Linked DNA regions of Nothobranchius furzeri. The protein of the gene in region 2 purifies or fractionates together with the protein of the main gene of each other region. This does not show direct contact. Links are inferred from orthologs where the notes say so. Each region holds a gene or a part of one and is shown on either strand. Other genes may lie near its edges. The genes, in order: arpc3 and actin-related protein 2/3 complex subunit 1A.

Region 1 (4,310 bases), on a different chromosome or scaffold from region 2:
TTGCGCATGCGCCGTGAGCGGTTCTGGTGCTGTTTGGGTCGCAGCCGCTCACATTTGTTTACTGTGAAGTGAAGTTGAAGTGCTGAAGTTCTGAAAACTAATTTTGAATAAAACTTGAATAACTGGTAATTGCTTGCTCATTTTAAGAGGCCGCTCATATTTTATAACAGGCTATTTGATATAATGGTTTACAAACACAAAAGAGTAATTTATTAGAGTACTCAATCGATAAGATTCGATAGAGTACTCAATTATAAAAATATTCGATAGCTGCAGCCCTAATCCAACCTTTATGCTTTTTTCTTCCTTCTAAAACAAGCTCAGACAGACAGAAGTACAGCTTTATGTTTAGTTGATCGTTTAATGCCATCGCTCACCTTCCTCCTGCTTGTTTGAGGGCTTCACATACATGGCATTAAGAGGGAAGCCAGGCTCTCCAGGGATGGGGAAATTTGTGATGCCTAGAGTGTACATCTCCTTCTCTCCTTGATTCCTGGAGCTGCACTGCAAGGATTAAAGCAAAAAATGTTCAGTGAAACCCATTTTACATGCCCTAGATTAGAAATGATTATAAATTAATAAATCACACATGTGCTTCTTTCTAGAAGCACACTTTATGCACCAAAACCCAGCTATTGAGCTCTCTGGTTTCCAGGCCCGACTGAGACGCTTCTACTTTCAAACAAGCATTTTAAATGCTACCACTAAACATTTTCACCCATCGAATACAACAGCTGTTAACACTGTACACTTTAATGATACAGATGTTATAAACTCACCTTCTGTAGCTTCTTCAGACACTCAGAAATGTAGAGTGTGATGTAGATCAGGGTCCTGTCTGCCTCATTCTGAAAAAAATATAACGCACTTTTAAGTGATTTAGTTTAAAGCAGTCATGTTTCCCTACAGCATTAATGCTAATGTTACAAAAGGCTTAAATCCAGGGCAGCTATGATGAAGAAACCGTGTTGAGTGGAGTGGAAGAAGCGAGCCCCAACATGTGATGGAATACGAAGTGCATAGCTGCTCTGAGACGGAAGGTGGGAAAGACAGAACATGCACAAAGGCAAGTTTTTATTTAAACATCTTTTATCTGATGAACTCCAGGTGAATTTTACAAGCAATTATAATCTGAAAAATCTTAAAACAAGCTTATGAAATCTCTTTGTAAATATTTTATGTTCTAGATAAAAACACCATGCATAAAAAGTTTGTGATTTTTAATAGGGGTAAACTCATATTTACAATGTTTTAATACATAAATCTTTATAATCCAATATACTTCTTTAGTAGCACTGATTTGAGAACAGGCACATCCACGGGCAGCCTGGTGCAGCTGCCAAATTTTATATAAATTTATATTTATGTTTCTGAAAAGACACCTGTTCAAAAAATGCTCTCAATTTTAGGTTGACATAATTTTTTTTGTTAATGTCTTGCTATCTACCCACACCATCTTTAAGATCGACTGGTAGACCGCAATAAATGTACTGAACACCCCTGCTCTAAAACATTACTGTCACTCCACCAGTTTTACATTTTAAACGATCAGATTATTGGTTTGTTTGTTAGATTAACTTTTAATAAATCATTGTTTTAACAAAAACCAGTGCACAAAATTAATATTCAACTGTTGGGTATATTCAGAGTTCAAAAACTGGTTCAGGTTCAGAAAAGATTTGCAGTAACTGTTATTAGTGACATTTTAGCATGCTGATAAGGTGAAAAATATCTAGATATCAGCCAGAAAAACTGGCTGATCATGACTCCTACATATGAGCATCGGTAAGAACGCACACCGGCCGACCTTTAATTCTTACCTTGATTTCATAATTCTTAAAGAAGACGTTGGCTTTGAAGTAGTAGATCGCTTCTTCAATAATATCAGAATCTAGCCCTGCAAGTTTAAAAAGAAAAAAGAAAATTTTCAATACAGACCAATGCCCTGAGTGTAAAATGTCATGTTTAGTTCATTTGTGTCTTCATTGTTTGTACAAAAGAATTTTGGTGGTTGGTTGAAACAAATCATACATCTTGTTGCAAATAATACATGCATGGGTTCCAGAAATAACAACATAGGTTGATGATGCATTCTTCAGCCCATATAAGGAAGTGAAGCTGACTCGTTTGAGGAACTGAATGACAGCCAAAACTCTGCACAGAACTGGTCAAGTTCTTGACATTTTCATGCATCTGTTACCCGGAAACAGAACGCGTTAGTGGAGACAATTACAGAATTATGATGCTTACTTACCGTCTCCTCTGGCTGGTCCTTTAAATTGAGTTTTAACGGGGAGCAAGGCCATGTTCCCCACTAGCCTTGTATCGGGGATCATCAAGCTTGAATGATACGCCTAAATAAAATCCAGAAAAAAGCAGCTGTCAGATCTGTTCAGATTCTATACGGCGATAGCGCTAGCGACGACCGTACGTTTCACTCATTTACATTCAAGAAGCTAGGGATAATTTCATGATAAACTTAATATCCTCAAAAGGAACATTTAGTGGAATATTGACAATTTTAAGTAATTTTACGAGTAGGTTTCTACCGAATGCTAACGAGCCTAGCTAACTATGCCACAGATGTCCGTCTTCACAGCTAACGTAAAATAAAGACAGTTTCATGACACAATTCTGGCTTCATAAATCAATAAAAACAAATAGCTGTCGTCAACAGCTATCGCAAAGTATATACTCACCGGCATGTTGAATGAAAGATATCAATCCAACTGCTCAGCAAGACAAATATCCGTGCACCCCCAGACGCTGCTTCCGCCTTTCCCACCCTGTAGCTTTACCGGAAGTGAACACGTGTCGTGTGACATAGCGGCCACTGGGGGGTGCTGAAAACAATCTCGTCACAGAAAAGTGCACATTGTGTAATGTTTTATTTAAAAAATATAACATTAGTACATCTATTTAACAACACTTCAGGTTTTTATTTTTAATTTGTCAAATGAAAATAAATCTTGAGTTGTATAAATAATAAAAACAGAAAATAATATTTTAAACATAAAAGACTAGTCCAAAGTCAGTTTTATTTAGCTATTGTCCATTTCCTCTTTTGATATGAAGCTCTCCAGCTGAACTTCATCTAAAACCTGCATGCACATGCTGTTTTCCCAGCTGACACACGATCACAATACTCTTCAACAGACAACTTTGTTTTGAAACAGCTCATCGTAGTTTAAATTTGCTGGTTCTTCATCAACTTCCTGATGGAGAAGAAAACCATATTTTATTTAGTTTTAATAAATAATAAAGATTTGCATTATAATTAGATTTGTGTTAATATGGTTGTTTCTTCACCTTAGGCTCCTTGAATTCCAGGTCCTCTCCATACTGAATGGAAAAGTCGATGTGCTGCATGACTATGTTAATGCCTTCCTCATCTGTGCGGTCAAAAGGCAAGAATCTGACCATACTGTAGTCATCTATCTATATATAAAAATAAAATAAAAAACAGAAAAAATATGTCAGTTTACCATTAAAAAATGTTTCTAAATCTAATAAATGACATCATACCAAACCACAAATAGCTTTGGTAAGCTTCTTGAACTTTTGGCTTCTGAAAGTGTCAGAATTATCCTCCATCATAGAGTACATGTCGGGGTCCAGGTACCTTGTAAAAATACACAACTGCCTTAAAGATTTACCAATTATAAACAGTTTATGGAAAGCAAAACTGATGTTGCATGTTAACTTCTCTGGCACTACATACTTTTTTTGCTTTAACCATGCAAAACTTACTTTTCTATTTCTTTCTTTGCTTTGGGGCTGAGCAGATCCATCTTTGTCATGACGTTTACTTGAGGAATTTCTAATGACACCATGGCACTCAGGGCAGCCATGACCCCAGATATAAACTACAGTTGAAACACGTAAAAGATGAGCGCACCTTAGTTTAAAACAACTTGCGCTAAAGAAAATGACACAAACATAAAAGAACAGATATATGGTTACCTTAAATGACTCCACCATGAACTGTGAGTCGACTAAAAACACCCCACACACCCGAAACTCCCACTGCTGGAGCTGCTCCACCAGTTGTCTCATCACAGGGACGTGTGTGTAAAGTTCAATCTGACCTGTTTAAAGTAAAAACAACACAAAGCTTCAAACTTATGTAATTTAAAAAGGACTTACCTTTAGATCAATTAGACCAAACTTAACAGCCAATACTAAAGTTATGTTTGTTAAACAGATTACTCACCTGGGCAGTCAAACAGAATATAGTCATCTTCCACATGGCCCAGACTTTCCTCCAGCCAGTCAAAGTTGTTGGCAAAGTACTCCATGCAGAAGACCAG
Region 2 (4,296 bases):
TTTTATGTGCTTGCTCACCCACCTGACCCAAATTAAAAAAGCATTAGCACCTAGCACAGAAGAACAAAAACAGTTATTCTAAATCTAAGGATATTCCTTCCTCACCAATCGTTTTCAGATTCAAAGTAGCACACGGAGATGAGTCGAGCTCCACTGCCAACTGCAAACTTGTTCTCCAGCGGAGACCACTTGACGAACGTGGCTGCTCGGTTGATCCTGAGGATGACCAGCGTGGGCTTCCACACCCCATCTTTCTGAGACCACACGTAGGCGTTACGGTCCGCTCCGCATGTCACTATACGGTCACTTTTGGGAGCCCAGTCAATCCCTGCAACAGAAAAACAAAACAGAGGCAAGTGTGAGACTTTGTAAGCCATTTGACTGTGATGCTATTAGAGCATGAACAGCAAACAAGGCACGATGTCTACATCTAGACTAGACCCATTCACTTGACAAAAATCACTTGTCTATTTAGCCATCTCTCACAGTTGCTTTTGTTTAGCATTTTGTTAAATTGAGACTTGATCCAGACATTCACTACACACTCCTTATTTTCTAATGATTAAACGAATAACACTGCACAGTTGAAGGAAGCTTCCATGTGTGTGACAACAACAAAAAAACAGGTCAAGTCAGGTGGCAATATCATAAAAAAAAGTGTGCTTTGTTGTAGGGTTTTAACGATATTTGTCTTATAACAGCAGAGTGTTTCTCTAACATCGGTGCAAAATGTAAATTATTCAACAACAGTAAACGTTTGAGACCTAAAATCTGGAGAAACATGTGAAGTTGAGAAGCTGAATAAATGATCCAATATTGGATTTAATCAATACATTTGCAGTGGCAGGAACGAATGACTTGCAAGTTGTACTCAGAGCTAAAAAAAAAAAGCCTAGAATTGCTTGGATCAGCCTGGACAAATCTGCTGCGGCAGAGAGTGGCAGCAGGTTTTTGAGTCTTCATTTCTGATTTTTGGACATCTTGTCTCAAATTGTATAACAGCAATGAAACCCTACCGCTGACTTGCAACGTGGATACATTATCTCCACAAATAACACTCGCCTGAAGGAGTTTTTCGTTTGTGGCAGTGCTGCTAATGCTAACAGTTAGCTTCTAGTCATGATGTTCTCTGCTGTTTCCTGGACGCTAACCCAACAACAGCCTTCCCTTTCGTGAGTCAAGATGGGCGAGTCTAAGAATGTTACGTGAAAGTGTGACGTAGATCTGTCAGGCTTTTCAAATCCTAAAGTTTCACTATTTTCTCTTAGAAGCTAATGCAGGAGATAGGTGTAGGAGACTATTTTAATTCTTAGCCTGAAGGGAAAAACTCACAGTGACTGATTATAAACAGAAAAAAAAAAACAATAATCAGTGTTTCACACCTTCGAAAACACACGTGCTAAATTTGGTGATCTCTTGAATCGTACCTGTTATGTGACCGTTGTGCTCCTTCAGCTCATGGGTCTTCACCCACTGGTTCCCACTCTTCTTGTAGATATGAACTTCATGGTTGTTAGGGCTGATAGCAATTTCTGGAGACAAAAAGGGGGAAAAACAAACCAGCAAGTTTAGGAGCTGTGATGACCACGAAGAGGACAAACCAGTTGGACTGGATTCTTTTATCAGCTCAACACCAAAAACAAGTCCGTCCAGACTGCCTTTGTTTACCTGCGGCCACTCTTTCACAAATTATTTCTATTTGTAATTTGACGTCTCTTGCGACAACTGTCGGAAATTGAATCATGTGTTGAAGTGGGTGTGATTCTTGAGCCTTACGTGTCCTGTCGCGGTTCCACGCGTGGCAGGTGATGGGTTCCAACAGAAACTGGTGAAGGGACATCTTTGTCTGGGTGTGGTCCTTAAGTGTAAACTCTGCTGCTGAGTCACAGACAAACTTAGTTAGCAACGAGCGATAGCCATTCCTGACCTAACCATAACTTTGCCTCTACTAGCAATGCATCGAATCTCTCTCACACACAACACACACACTCAGAAAACCACCAAATGCTTACGAACTGGGACAAATTGTACAACTGTAACTTTATGCCACCTCATTTCGTTTAATACTTGATAGCAGATAGCTTGAATTCATCCGCTAAACCTAAGTCTGTCAAAGAACCAAGAGGTCTGGTCTGAGTATAAATTAATGTGGTAAATGAAATATCAGCCAGGCACCGTCAAGCAATTCTTATATTTTTAAATCAGTATATTGCGAGGTGTTCACTTTTACTAATAAACGTCAACCCGGTTAGCTAGCTAGTGCAGCATAGCCACAGCCGGGTAGACTGCCCCACTCGGGTTGTAATCGTCACAAACGAAATATTAATCATTTTAAATCCCAGGTTGTACAACAATCTATATATATATATATATATATATATATATATATTTAAATTGTTATATAAGCTCGAAAGCCAGCTTGATAAAAACATGCTGATTTACTCCTATGTACACCTTTACCGGGAGGCCTGCGTTCCCGGTTTTCAGACCTCGGTGTTTCCTCATAGGAGACGCTTTTCTACATAATTCCATCCCGCTAGCCCGGGTGCTAACTTACCTCGTCAGTTTGGCTCTTCGAGTTAGCCGGCAAGCTAAGCCACACTGTCGGGAAGAGATTATAGATCAGGAATGGACTTGAATTCGCGGACTCTGGTCAGTCGACACGAATTCGTCCAGGAATGTAGAGGGAATGTCAAGACGGCCAGTGAGATAGAACCGGAAACATCCGGTACCTAACTCGGCTCGGCAGCTAAACCCGTGGATACCTGGCTGACAGCTAGCTTAGCATCATCACGCTAAGATGTTACATTCAACTGAACGGTGCCGTTTACGACGGCGTCTCACAACTACAGCTAGTGTGTGTAAGAGCGCCTCTAGCGGTTAAAGAGTTGTATTACTTCTATAGTCTATTATTCATCAGAGTGAAAGCAGGAAAAGACCAATTCATTTAATAAATGTTATTGCACTTTTCAAAAATAAATTTACACCCCATAGGAAAGGCATCAATATGATAAATGATTATTGTTTAAATAACAATAAAAATTATTTCTTTATAAGGCATTACTTCCATTGAATCATGGGTAATGGGCTTTTTAACCATTCAGAGGAGAGTTAAATTAAGAGCACCTGGGAGGTCTTCAGATAGCTGCTGCTAGATGAAAGCAATACAAGTTTGAACCTTGTCTTCCTCTGTGGTGCTTCATCAAGCTGACAAGTGGAGCCATTAAACATGGATGATTCACTTCCTCCACCTCCACTTCACCTGCTATCAGGTAAAAGAACCCTCTAGACAAAATACTACTACTAATAGTAATTTTAAAACCTAATTCTCATGCTTTCTTAGCTGAAAAGAGTTTTTTGTTAAAAGTTAAAGATACTTACAAATGTATGCTCTTTTACCAGAGCAAGACCTGAGGATCTACCATGTAAACCCGCCTTACATCCCTCCAACTCCTCCGGTTTTCTCACCTCTACCAGGTGCACGTTAAATTTCATCCAGGTCTAAACATGAACCCATATTGTGCCATTTTAAATGATCTTTGTGTCAAAATGTAAGTTTGCTTTTGAAACTACACCATTTCAGTAATGTAGGTGGAAACTATTTTACTTATTTGGGGGCAGAAAGCTTCTGCTTAATGGGCAACAACAGAAGCACAGATTTTAATTTTAATCTCTTCTTGTCATCTCTGAAGTCTCGGACATCCCTTCACGTGGTCCCAGGCCAATGGTTGTGAGCTATAAAACAAAGCTGTTTGGCTCTCCAGCACTAATGATGTGCACCTCCTGTCAGACACAGGTCACCACAGAGGTCACCTTTAAGGTCGGGACTTACGCCTGGCTCGTGTGCCTCTTGTTTGTCTTTTGTGGGTGAGAAAGATGTACTCAAATGTATTAATTGTCATCTCATACACCTACAGGAACTATTAACCCAGAATGGGCAGTAAAAAGTCTGCAAATGCTTTCTTACAGGTTGTTTTTTGGCTGCTGCTTGATTCCATTTTTTCTAAACCACTTTAAAGATGCCCACCACACATGTCCTCACTGCTTGCTAGTTCTTCATATAGAGAAGAGGAAGTGCTGTCACTGAAAGCTTTCTGCTTTGGTAAAGTCTAGATTTGTTCAGATGAATGACAAAAAAGGTTCTGTAATGCACAATTGTAAGATATTTCACCAGTTTTTAGTCATATTTTGTAAAATATCTATTGAATAAATGTGTTTGTGCAAATTATTATGTTTTCTTGAATTCTTGGTGCATTATGTAAAGCTCAGTCAGACTGACATCTTGTGGTGAAATTC

Evidence for each region.
Region 1: the proteins of actin-related protein 2/3 complex subunit 1A (region 2) and arpc3 purify together in Homo sapiens (affinity purification with mass spectrometry; 8 studies listed by BioGRID and IntAct, counting the BioPlex papers as one, with this or other methods). This does not show direct contact. The link is inferred for Nothobranchius furzeri from reciprocal best matches to the Homo sapiens genes ARPC1A and ARPC3.

The regions. Positions count from the first base shown.
Region 1 is NC_091746.1:47,862,047-47,866,356, reverse strand, and holds the start of arpc3 (actin-related protein 2/3 complex subunit 3), read right to left. Parts: upstream 2,821-4,310; 5' UTR 2,706-2,820; coding exon 2,700-2,705; intron 2,355-2,699; coding exon 2,255-2,354; intron 1,898-2,254; coding exon 1,821-1,897; intron 849-1,820; coding exon 780-848; intron 505-779; coding exon 378-504; intron 1-377. Other genes in the region: gpn3 (GPN-loop GTPase 3), read right to left, coding at 3,150-3,215, 3,310-3,438, 3,526-3,622, 3,751-3,866, 3,964-4,088, 4,214-4,310. UniProt on the Homo sapiens protein: Component of the Arp2/3 complex, a multiprotein complex that mediates actin polymerization upon stimulation by nucleation-promoting factor (NPF).
Region 2 is NC_091744.1:15,328,124-15,332,419, reverse strand, and holds the start of actin-related protein 2/3 complex subunit 1A, read right to left. Parts: upstream 2,855-4,296; 5' UTR 2,558-2,854; intron 1,879-2,557; exon of another isoform or gene 1,876-1,878; 5' UTR 1,841-1,875; coding exon 1,777-1,840; intron 1,533-1,776; coding exon 1,428-1,532; intron 329-1,427; coding exon 106-328; intron 23-105; coding exon 1-22. Other genes in the region: lipopolysaccharide-induced tumor necrosis factor-alpha factor homolog, read left to right, coding at 3,230-3,272, 3,403-3,477, 3,693-3,867, 3,970-4,087. UniProt on the Homo sapiens protein: Probably functions as a component of the Arp2/3 complex which is involved in regulation of actin polymerization and together with an activating nucleation-promoting factor (NPF) mediates the formation of branched actin networks.